2 linked regions of the Caenorhabditis elegans genome follow. The gene in region 1 interacts genetically with each later gene. Each region holds a gene or a part of one and is shown on either strand. Other genes may lie near its edges.

Evidence for each region. A genetic interaction does not mean that the proteins touch.
Region 2: changes in sup-46 (region 1) and melo-1 impair growth when combined (synthetic growth defect), as found in Caenorhabditis elegans (one study listed by BioGRID).

The regions. Positions count from the first base shown.
Region 1 is NC_003279.8:10,169,114-10,174,178, forward strand, and holds sup-46 (RRM domain-containing protein), read right to left. Parts: upstream 3,491-5,065; 5' UTR 3,455-3,490; coding exon 3,376-3,454; intron 3,297-3,375; coding exon 3,010-3,296; intron 2,943-3,009; coding exon 2,727-2,942; intron 2,012-2,726; coding exon 1,910-2,011; intron 1,862-1,909; coding exon 1,622-1,861; intron 1,255-1,621; coding exon 1,006-1,254; intron 953-1,005; coding exon 761-952; 3' UTR 526-760; downstream 1-525.
Region 2 is NC_003282.8:14,785,214-14,791,373, reverse strand, and holds melo-1 (RRM domain-containing protein), read right to left. Parts: upstream 4,207-6,160; 5' UTR 4,191-4,206; coding exon 3,991-4,190; intron 3,869-3,990; coding exon of another isoform or gene 3,835-3,868; exon of another isoform or gene 3,394-3,834; coding exon 3,268-3,393; intron 3,077-3,267; coding exon 2,259-3,076; exon of another isoform or gene 1,969-2,258; coding exon 1,860-1,968; exon of another isoform or gene 1,525-1,859; coding exon 1,309-1,524; exon of another isoform or gene 1,227-1,308; coding exon 1,141-1,226; intron 1,088-1,140; coding exon 939-1,087; exon of another isoform or gene 885-938; coding exon 711-884; 3' UTR 531-710; downstream 1-530. Other genes in the region: gdi-1 (Rab GDP dissociation inhibitor), read left to right, coding at 1-92, 150-236.

The DNA.
Region 1 (5,065 bases):
CTACAGTACTCTTTGAGGCGCACACCCGTTTGTATTTAACAAAAAATTGTCGTGACGAGACCAGGAACGGTATTTTTGGTGCCAAAATTTTTTATTGCCGGTTTTGAAATAAAAACAATTAATTTTTAAAAAAATTGATATAACAGTACTCGTTATAAAGCAGAATTCAGAATCCTTCTCCAAAAGCCTCAAGGTACCGTAATCCAGAGAAAGGCGTCAAAAATGAAAACATAGACAAACGAAAGAAAGTTGTGAGCATACAAATAGACACACACAATGCTCATCATCGTTTTCTCAGCAACAAAGGATTCTTCATGGGCGTGACTATCTTTTGCTCATGAAGGAGAGAGACGTCTTCAAAACGCAATTAAGGGCATACGGTAAAACGTTTGAGCAGCAGTTGTCGCGCGCAAATCAGATTGCGTGAAGCTCTTGTTTGATGCGGGACACACATGCTAAATTGTCTTCTGAATAGCACCTCAAATTGTGCGGCGCTCATCTGAAGACACACTTGTCACGTCATTTATTATTAAAACTTTTATTTGTCACCATCCTGCCAGAGGAAAATATGAGAAATAGTTTTAGAGTGATGAAAATGAGGAAGATGTTTTAAATTATTGAGATTCCGTTGACAAGGAAGCCTTTTTAAAGGGATAAGGAAGGATAGAGATGGAGAAAAAACGGATAAAATAAAGATAATAGATGATGATTCAAGAGAAACGTGAGAAGTTTCAAATACAAATATAACAGGGGGAATGAATTAGGCGTAGTCAACGCTGATCATGCGGCCTTCGACAGTGGATCCATAGAGGGCAGCACGAGCACGTTCAGCGTCTTGGAAAGTTGCAAAACGAATGCGAGCAGCTCCTGGCGCCATCATATCAACAGAGTCGACTTCTCCGAAGTTTCGAACACGGTCACGGACAATTTGCCAGGTATAATCGCTTGGAAGCTGAATAACAGATCATAAATGAGAACAAATTGAAATTTGAATTGAAAACTTACGTTGCGAATGATAATAACCCTTGTTGCCTGGGGTGTCGCAGCACCGGCGAGTCCACCAGCTCCATTGACACCAAAGACGTCAGGTTGAGCAAATGTGGCTCCACCAGCACCACCAACACCAGCATTTCCTCCAAATGGTCCATTGTTCATGACGGATCGGGCAAAGTTGGCTTGTTCAACGACTCCTCCAAAACCACCAGCCGAAACAACTTGTGGTCCACCTACGAATGGGGCAGCTGGAGCTGTGAACTGAAATATAGATAATTAAATTAACTTTTAAAAATTTTATAATTGAGTATTTGTTATCAAGAGTTTCATCGAACATTTTTTGTGCTTTTTTCAGAGAAAGTTCCGTTTGTTCTGAAAATCGAAAAACATGTTTAGCAAATTGGAATATAAAAACCCATTTTTGTATTAAGTTTTCAGATTGTTGATGGGGAAAAACATAAGAAAACATATCGTTTTCTTATAAAAGGCCATTTTTCGAAAAATCAAAATGTTGGAAACCCGAAAATTTCTGTTTAAAAAAAATTAATTTTTCGATTTAAAAAAATCTAAAACCACCATTGAATGCTAGTATATACCACACCGATGAAATTTGTTTTAAATCGCTTACCGGCACTGAAGCATCTCCTGGGAACATTCCATGAACATTGGAAAGTGGTGCTCCTTCTGCTCCAAGACCCATTCCGATTGACTCAAGACCTCGTGGAAGTCCACCTTCTTTGTGCTCCAGTTCCTTATCGAATCTATCCATTTTCACAACCAGATTTCGATCAAAAAGTCGCTGACCATTGAGCATCGAAACGGCTTGTACGGCTTCAATTGGGTGAGTGTATTGAATTACGCATACTCCCTGGAAGACACCATTTATATTTTATAGGAACTATAAATATTAACAAACCTTTGACTTTCCTTCTTTATCAATGCGGAAGTCCATCCAGGTGATTTTACCGGCCATACCGAAGACTTCGTAAAGCTTATCGGTTCCGACATTGAAAGCCAACTGAAAATGTTTGATTAATAATATTGTCTTGGAAACAGAAGTGGAATTTCGGAAATTCTATAAAATGACATATTTCGCCATGTTAAATATAGAAAATCACTTTTTTAAATCTGAAAATAACACTTATTTCAGATAAAACACTTGGAAAAGCGCTTCAAAAATACCAGGATGTTGCAAATTGCCGATCATCAAATTGTTGAATTATCGTTTCTCGGCAAATGGCAACTTTTGGTCATTTTCGCGCACTTTTCCAAATGTTTAAAACGAGATAATTTTTTTTTAATTTTCAGATAAATCAAGTGATTATCTACATTTTCAGACTAATTTTTGATGAAAACTTTTGAAAAAAACATGTCGCAATAGGTCATTTTGTAGCATTTCCGAAAATAATTGCCAACCACCTCTGATTGGGAACTAAGAATGGTATTTAGTAACTGAATTAGTGATGCTATATTTTATTCGTATGATACTGAGAGATCTACCCGGAGGATGCAACTGTCTGAACAAACTATAATAAGCACTGATTCCATTTTGTTGTATATAATTCCACGTAGAAAGCTTCCTACTACTATTCCGTTTAAAAACACCAAAATGAAAAATTGCATTTATTTCTCCCATTCGAATAATTTCATATCTCAAAACTGAGATAAAGACCCAGCAAGTGAACGTGGTCTAGATGTGGAGCCCTTCGAGAAGAAGAATATTTGAAACCTACATTGGCGATGAAGATGCGCTCACAGAGTGGCGGTTCAATGTTGTGTTGGCGAAGGAATTCCATATTGAGACCGAATAAATCATAAGTTCCAGTTCGAGTAGGGCGATCAAGATCTTTTGGTGGAGGACCTCGTCCTCCTGCACCACCACCTCCGGTACGAGACAAGTAATCAATGCCTGTTTCAGTTTTGATGGTTCGGAAGAAAGCATTCGGATCCTACAGAAAAAATAAAAAATGGATGAAAATTTCTGAATGTGAGTGTCAAAATTAAATAGATACGGACCCGAATTTCTTTGGCGATGATGGTTCTTCCCTTCCAGTCGAACTTTTGTAGATTCTCAACGCATTTTTCGGCACCCTCACGAGTTTCGAACTCAACCACAGCGTTACCCTTTGGCTTGCCGTTACGGTCTTCGAGCAACTCGCAGAAAGCGACTTCACCTCCTTTCTCGCGAACTAGACTTTTCAAATCGACCCAACGAGCCTCATAGGCGATATTGGTGATAAAAACCATTCGGTTGTTCGATGATGAGTTCCCATTGTTACTTCCAACAGCAGCGCCGATACGACCTTAAGGAAATGGAAAATAGAGAAGGATTTCTATGGAAAAAATGGTGGAAACGGGAATGAAGAATATCAAAAACTATACTTCTTCTTGGACTTCTGGATCGGCTCCGACGCTCTCGCTTAACATCACGCTGTGGTCCGTCTCGACGATTTCTGTTCATGTTGGCTGATGGAACACGGATCTTGGATTAAGCTTTCTGAATGAGTTGAACTAGAATCAATTAGACGATAAGCAAATGTTTTCATATAACAACGGGCTTCTTTAAAAAACAATTGAAATTTTATTTCCATTTTGATTGCTAACAAGTCGAAAATTAATTGTAACTAAAATAATCTGCTCGCTGAGTGGCCCATTTTTATTGTTGAAAGAGATAAAAGATTATTTACTGAACTGTCTCGCCAATGTAATACTTGATTTGACATCGAATTGAAAAACTATGTTACAACAATGATCGAAAACTTATGCACAGATGAGTAAAAAGTTTTGTGATCGCACCTTATTTGCTTCTTTACTTACAAATAGGCCACTCGAGCAAAATTTGACTTGATATCTTACAGAAAGACTAGAATGCTCTAAACTCTCTTAAAATTCCCGAACCGAAAATTAAGTTTTCAAAAAGAGGAACAATTTCGAAATTTATCTATCGGAGCAATTCTCTGAAACATCTTGGAGATTTTCCGACTGATAATGCATATTTAAGCCGCGAGAACCATTTAGCAAATTTTAAAACAAAAAAACGTTTGATTTAACGAAGAAAATAAAGAAAAATAAATACGATAAAAGAGAGAAAAATCGAAATTCGAAAAGAAGAGACGGCGGCAAACACAAGTGTGCATTTGTGCGTCGAGACGAGCCGCACAGCCGACATCAGATTTGACGCCACAAATCGCCGCGAAAAGTGAAGGCTTTTTCTTTGCTGCTAAGCCAGTATTCTGGATCTTTTACGATTTTTTTTTCATTTTCGATAGCATGGTTCTGTGAAACAAGATCTCTGTTCTCTTTGAAACACTCTATTCTATAATTTATTTTATTCTTCAATTGTTTCTTCCATGTTTCCCTAAAAATAATTTTGTTCGTTAATTGTCAATAGGATTTTTATGAACTGAATTCAGTGTCAAATTTCGGAGAAAGAATAGAAAACGTTTTTTGTGAGATAAGCTGCCTCTCGTTTTGTTTTGCCTCCGCATGACAGATTTATTCTCAATTTCACACTAAAAATTATTAATAATTGTACAATTTAGTTTTGCTTCAAGTTCTATAACAACGCGTTTTTGTTTTTTTTTCACAATTCATGCGCTAGCTGTCCAAAAATATTCAAAATGTTTATAGAATAGGTGATTCAACACCAACATTTCAAACTATCGTTCACAAGTCACATTCCAAATGACTAACGTCCATATAAAGTTTCTGATATTGCTCCAATCGTCCCAAATGTCTTATCATATACACTTCATGACGTGTTTTCCCTATTCTTTCTCTTTTCCCGCCGATGACCATGTCTCTCCCTTCTATTCCTCTAGGTTTCACCATACGAATATCAAATCGTATATACATTTAAAAGCCGACGCCTTCTACCATGTCGAACAGTAATCGCATGGAACTAGTTAGTCTTTTCCCAATCGCCGTCATTTCCCTCACTTTTATTCCTTACACTAGATTTTATTATTGATAGAACTGAAATCTTGGTCTTATGTTAACGACAAAAATCGTGCCTCGTTTCATTTTAAATGCAAAACTACCTGCCGTTTATTGCCGCCGTCAAGAGAACAAT
Region 2 (6,160 bases), on another chromosome or scaffold:
ATGTTTATGAGCCATCTGACTTGGGATCTGAGTCACAGATCTTCATCTCTCAATCTTATGATGCTACGACTCACTTTGAAACCACTTGCAAGGTAATTTAAAGAATTTAAAACAATTTTTGAAAGAAATTATAATTATTCATTTTTCAGGACGTGCTCAACATGTTCGAACGTGGAACGACCAAAGAATTCGACTTCACCAACATCACTCACTTGTCGTTGAATGATCAGGAATAATTGAATATCCATTCCCTTCTTTTGAGTACTCTGATTTGACGCTTCTGATGCTGCTTTTGCTCTTTTTTGTCGCCTCTATAAAAAAAACGATTCCCGTTCCGTTTGTTTCTCCTGTCCAATGTTCATTTTCAACCGATTTTAATTTATTGTATTTTCTCTTTTCCAGTCTCTATCCTCATGTGATTCCCCGAGAACCCTTTTTTTAAATTTCAATTTTCGTCCCGAAAACAAAATTTCTTCCCACTATTTCCTTTGTATTTAACTTTACAATTCCCAAACAAAGTCCGCTTCGTAAATCTATAAATCACTTTATCCTTTTGAAGTACTTCATTACAGAAATACAATTATTATCACGATCAGAAAGTTTGGATAGGATGGGATTACATTTGATGAAGGGAGATCATTTCCATTTGAAAATTGGAGAAGAATAAGCATATATGTTTTTACATAATTGATTAAAGAAAAAATCCCAGTTTAAGCCATCACAAGCAGAGCATCGAGCTGATCATCGACACGTTGCATCATCTTTTTGTACAAATCCTCCATATTCTCGAGCAATGCCATTTTCAGTCCGAATTGTAGAGACTCGTCTTTAGCGAGAAGAGCACGTGTGACGACCGCATATGTTTCACAATCGTTGCGAAAAGCCTGAAAAATAGAAAATTTGACTCAAATTAGTCAATGAGTAACTTGAAAACTTACCGATTCGAGTTGCTTCTTCTTAATATGGAAACGCATCATTTGCTCATCGTTGAGCTTCGCAAGCTTCAACTCCCTCACCATCGCCTTCTCCTCGTCCGCCGAGTCATCTTCAGTGGCTAGTGATGAGAGACGGAGAGTAGAGAATCCAGCTGAAATTATATATTGTTTTTCGAAAAAGCCCCCGCCGGTTGTCAATGGTTACCTTCGTCTTCTTCCTTTCTCGCTGGCGGCTCATACTTGACAGTGGAGAGGAGAGCAGATTGGAAGGCTTTGAGATGACCAAAGAGTCTGGAAAACATTGATTTTTTGAGGGAAATATTAAAAATTAGAGAATAAATATTAGTTTTTCAGGGAATTTCGAAATTCATACTTATTCGTGTTGGGGTGCATTGTAATGTCGGGCATACTTGAACCACCACTGATAGCAGACCCATTCATAGCAACTGGGTGAGCAGCGGCAGAAGCAGAAGCAGCAGCAGCTGAAACCACTGGAGCCGGCAGAGAAGAAGGCATAACTATTTCGATTCTGCCAATTTGACGGGGCACAAACGCAGGTTGGGGCGTGGTCGGTGGTGGTTGTGGTGGACTAAAACGGATTACACAAACGTGAAAATTTGCCCCGCGGGGAATATGGTACCGGGTCTCGACACGAAAAATTTTTGTTAAATACTTACAAACAGGTGCGCACCTTTAAAGAGTACTGTAGCTTCTAAATTTCCTAGCAGTGCTTTCAATTGTTTTTCTCACGATTTGTTAAAATAAAAAATGATTTTCAACAAAAAATCGACAAATATTTCAGTACACTTTAAAGGCGCATACCTGTTTGTATTTATCAAAAAAAAAAACTGTCGCTTGGAGACCACGAACCGTATTTTTGGAGCAAAACTCTCAAAAAATTTGGCGTCTGGGTAATGAACTTACGCTGTAGGGAGTTGTGGTGGTATTGGTTGCTGTTGTTGCTGTTGTTGCTGAATAGGTGTAGTGGTATAATAAGAATTGACTTGAACTGGCGGTTGAGCAGGTTGTGGGGCTGAAAATTCAAAAATTGACACTAAATAGATATCGAAAAATTTCAAGAAAAGCTTTTATGGCGGTTCCAAAAATTTCGAAAAAATGGGCCAATTTTAACTAAACCCTGAATTTTCGGCAATTTTCCCTGGTCGCAGCGGTTATAAATTCATTTTTTTGTTCGATTATTGTTTTATTTTACAGATAAAAATCTATTTCCGGCCGTTGTGACTCTTGAAAATCGGCGAAATTTCAGATTTGAGTTAAGAAATAGCCCTTTTTTTGAGAAATTCCTTTAGTGACTCCTCTTACTCTCTCTAACAATCATCTTCGGAGTTGCTTCAACTTCCATTGGCACTGAATAGGATACTGAAACTGGACTTGCACCAGTTCTGATTTGATTATATGTGTTGTTGGATTGCTGGTACTCATATTGATTATTGGAAACATGTGGAGGACTTTCCAATTCCATATCATCTGCCGTCGGTGGTGGAATGAACGATGCAGATTTTGAAGCTTTTGGAGTTGGTGGAGCTGGAGATGGCGATGCTGCTGCTTCAGTTTTCGGTGGAAGTGGGATTTGAGGAAGCTCTTCCTTCACACTCTTCTTTGGTTGAGTTTCTCGTACATCTTTCCGATCATCATCTGACAACTCTCTACGTCTCTTCTGTCGTGCTTCATTATCTTTGACTCGAGACTTCTCATCAAACGATTCATCGTCGAACGAATCAACATCATCCGATTTTCTCGAGTGAGCACTGCCCGATCTTCCCGAGCTACGAGACCGGCTTCTGGTATTCGATCGGCTTCTCGATCGATTCTGACTTCTACTACGATGCCGAGAGACTCTTCCATTTCTAGATGCCGGCGACTTTGATCTAGACACACTTCTTGAGCGGCTTCTCGATCGGCTTCTCGACGGACTTCTGCTTCTAGATCGGCTCTTCGATCGTCCTCTTCTCACTGGTGGCGACGCAGATCTCTTCGAAGACTCTTGTGAATCAGAACGACGACGGCGGCGTTGACTGTTGCTTCGAACCTGCTTGGCACGCTGATAGGCACAATAACGACGTATATCACGGAACCAAGAGAGATCACAACGGCATCCCATGAATTCACGATCCGAATATCTGAAAATGGAGAGGGTTGCTTTGAATTTCTTATTTTCGGCAATTCTACAATATTTTATTGAAAAATAGTGTCAAAATATATAAATTCACACAATTTATCTAAAAACACCATTCTTTTCAGCTGAGAAACTAGAAAAAAATGGAGCAATAGGCCATTTTATAGAATTTCCGCCTATCCCTGATCCACTTACGTCTCCATAAACTCCTTAGCCTCATCACGATTCTCAAATCGAACAGCCACGAATATCTTGCTCTTATCTTGAGCCACTTTCACGAAATCGAACGAGATTTTTCCAACTTTTTCGCCAATATATTCCCTAAAACAGGCATATAATTAAAAGGGCAGTGTGGGAGAATTTCACAATTTCGTGGGGGGCCACAACTTTTTTGGAGTCTGAAAATGAATTAGGTATGTTGAATATAGAATAGCTCGTGCATTTGGTGTTAATTCAAAAGCATGAGAAATATATTCCATTTGAGAAAAAAGAGACGGGGGAAAAAGAGAAAGAGATGGGTGGGGGGTGTCACACACTCGAATATATATATTGATATGTAATACACTCACAATGTGAAAACTGGTGGAAAATTTTAGAGACTTGTAATTGTAATTGTAAATCATTTGTTGCAAAATTCGTTGCAAAAGAAAAGACCGTATCCCACAGCGCGACATCATCAAATTATTTTAGAATGAATTAGAATTAATGTTGGGTGTGTGTGTGTGTGTGTGTGTGGGAAAATAATCTCCCTGTAGGTAATAATCAACACATAGTAGGATAGAACTCTCTTTTCCGACTGAAATATAATAATGATTATACTGATTATTGATTTGGAAATTTAAATATCTGAAATGATTTTGAATAGAAAACTTGGCAAAAAACTTTCAATCAAACATTTTCTCTCTACAAATAGCCTACTTGATCTCTTCCGTCGAAATATCACCATGAAGTCCTCGAATAAAAATCGTGTGCTTCGACTGAGGAACTTGCGTCTCATTGATTCTCGGCAAATTGTTGTAGTGATGATGATGGTTATTGTTGTTGTTGTTGTAATTATTGTGACGGAAACCTCCACCGCCACGATGATTGTTATATCCATAGTTGTTATTGTGATACATTATTATTATAGGTTCACTGGAATAAATATATGCACTGTATCAATATATATATATAAAATAAGAAATTAATAGCGAGAATACTTCTGAAACTGGGGAGGAATTGGGGGCACGCACACACACAGCGATAGTAAAATACTAACAGCAACGACGGCCAGTCGCCTTTCCATCCCCAGCACAGCACATCGAGACGGATAGATAGAGAGAGAGAGATTACATAAAAACGAGAGAATCATACGAAAAAGAGAAATAATTTAGAGAAATAACGTGGTAAACGTGGATGGTGAGTAGAATGCAAAGAGTGAGAGAGAGAGAAATAGATAGGAGACGAGAATACATTCGAGGAGAAAAAATACGCAGAACCAAATAGTATTTATTAACGTGGCGTTTTGGGACGCTACAAAATGAAATTGATCGGTGCAAATATTGCTTTTGGCGGGAGATTTGAATGCAATATTTGGAAAAAAAGATGACAGAGAAATTGCTAATACTAAATTTTTTCTGGAGTGAGAAAGAAATTCTGATAAAAAGTTCCAGCAATAAGTGTAGAAAAAAGTTTAATAGGCATTTTTCGTTTTTAGTTTCAAAAATACAGTAGCTGCAGGTCTCGACACGACAACATTTTGTGACATGAAAAAAGACGCGCGCCTTTAAAGATTACTGTAGCTTCAAACTCTCATTGTTGCAGAATTTTCATAGATTTTTCAGGAAAATGTATGTGTTTTAGTGTTATATTCTTTAAACGAACACACATACTTTTGGGAAATCGATGAAAATTCCAGATCAACGAAAGTTAAAAATTACAGTAATCTTTAAAGCCGCACACATTTTTTTTTCCTTTACCAAAACTTTGTCGTGTTGAGACCTTCGCACAAAATTTCGAATTTTCTGCTTTATAACGAGGTACAGTACCCCACGAGGAATGAAATCTGGCAAAGTCAATCCTCAAACTATTCTATGAAACCACTGTTCAATAGAAAATAATTTCTGCGAATGGAGGAACGTTCTATATATTCAATTCCTTCTTTATATCTCGACCAAAATCTCCATTTTAAAGATTTTCATCTTCGCGGTGGGTGACCCATTTTCGGAATTACTGGCACGAAATGTCGATAAGGAAGAAGAAGACGTGAATTTGGAGAAAAAAAATACATACTTAACAAAAAAAACTCAATAACTTATAAGCTGAGAGAAATAGGATTAAGAGTAGTTGAAGAGCTCAGCGCACATAGAAAGAAGGTGACAATGTGTCTAATGAGAACTGGTGGAATTTGTGAGCCGACTCTCTTATCAAAGTGAAAACGAAAAAGCTGTGGCAGAGCTTTCAGGTGAAAAATGAAAAACGAAAAACAAGCCAACCGTTAATTATTTTTACTTGTGTTGGCGTTGTGTGCGAGTGTTGACATATACGCGGTTTCCCGTGGTTACACTGCCTTCAAACAAACTGAATAATGTGACGATTTATGGCTTTTTAGGAAAGAACGACTGCTGGTGGAAGGGGACAATGCACAATATGCTTTTGACTTGCAAATTTTACAATCGATCAATTGGACGCTGCTAGAGCAGATTCTCTAATTGGATCGATTTTATTGCAAGGTTCGCAACACATTGTGTGGCATTGCTTATCGAGAAGGAGTGTACGTATTTTAGTTGTCAAAAATACGAAGTGATTCATCATAGTGGAAGAACCATTGCAATACCTGCACTATCGATAGTAAGTAGTGATAATGAAGTATGTAACGAAAGTGAGTGTATATTTGCAAAGCGGAAGAAGGAATAAGAACGGACGAACTGGGGTCCAAAATAAGTATTTTTCGGATAATTTTCACTGTAACCGTATGCTAAAGCCTGTAAAAATGACCCCACGTGGTGTCAGGCTGTCTCATAGCGGTTTGATCTCCAAAAAATGCGGGAATTTTTTCCCAGAAAAATTGTGACGTCAGCACGTTCCATGCGAAATCAGACGAGATGTC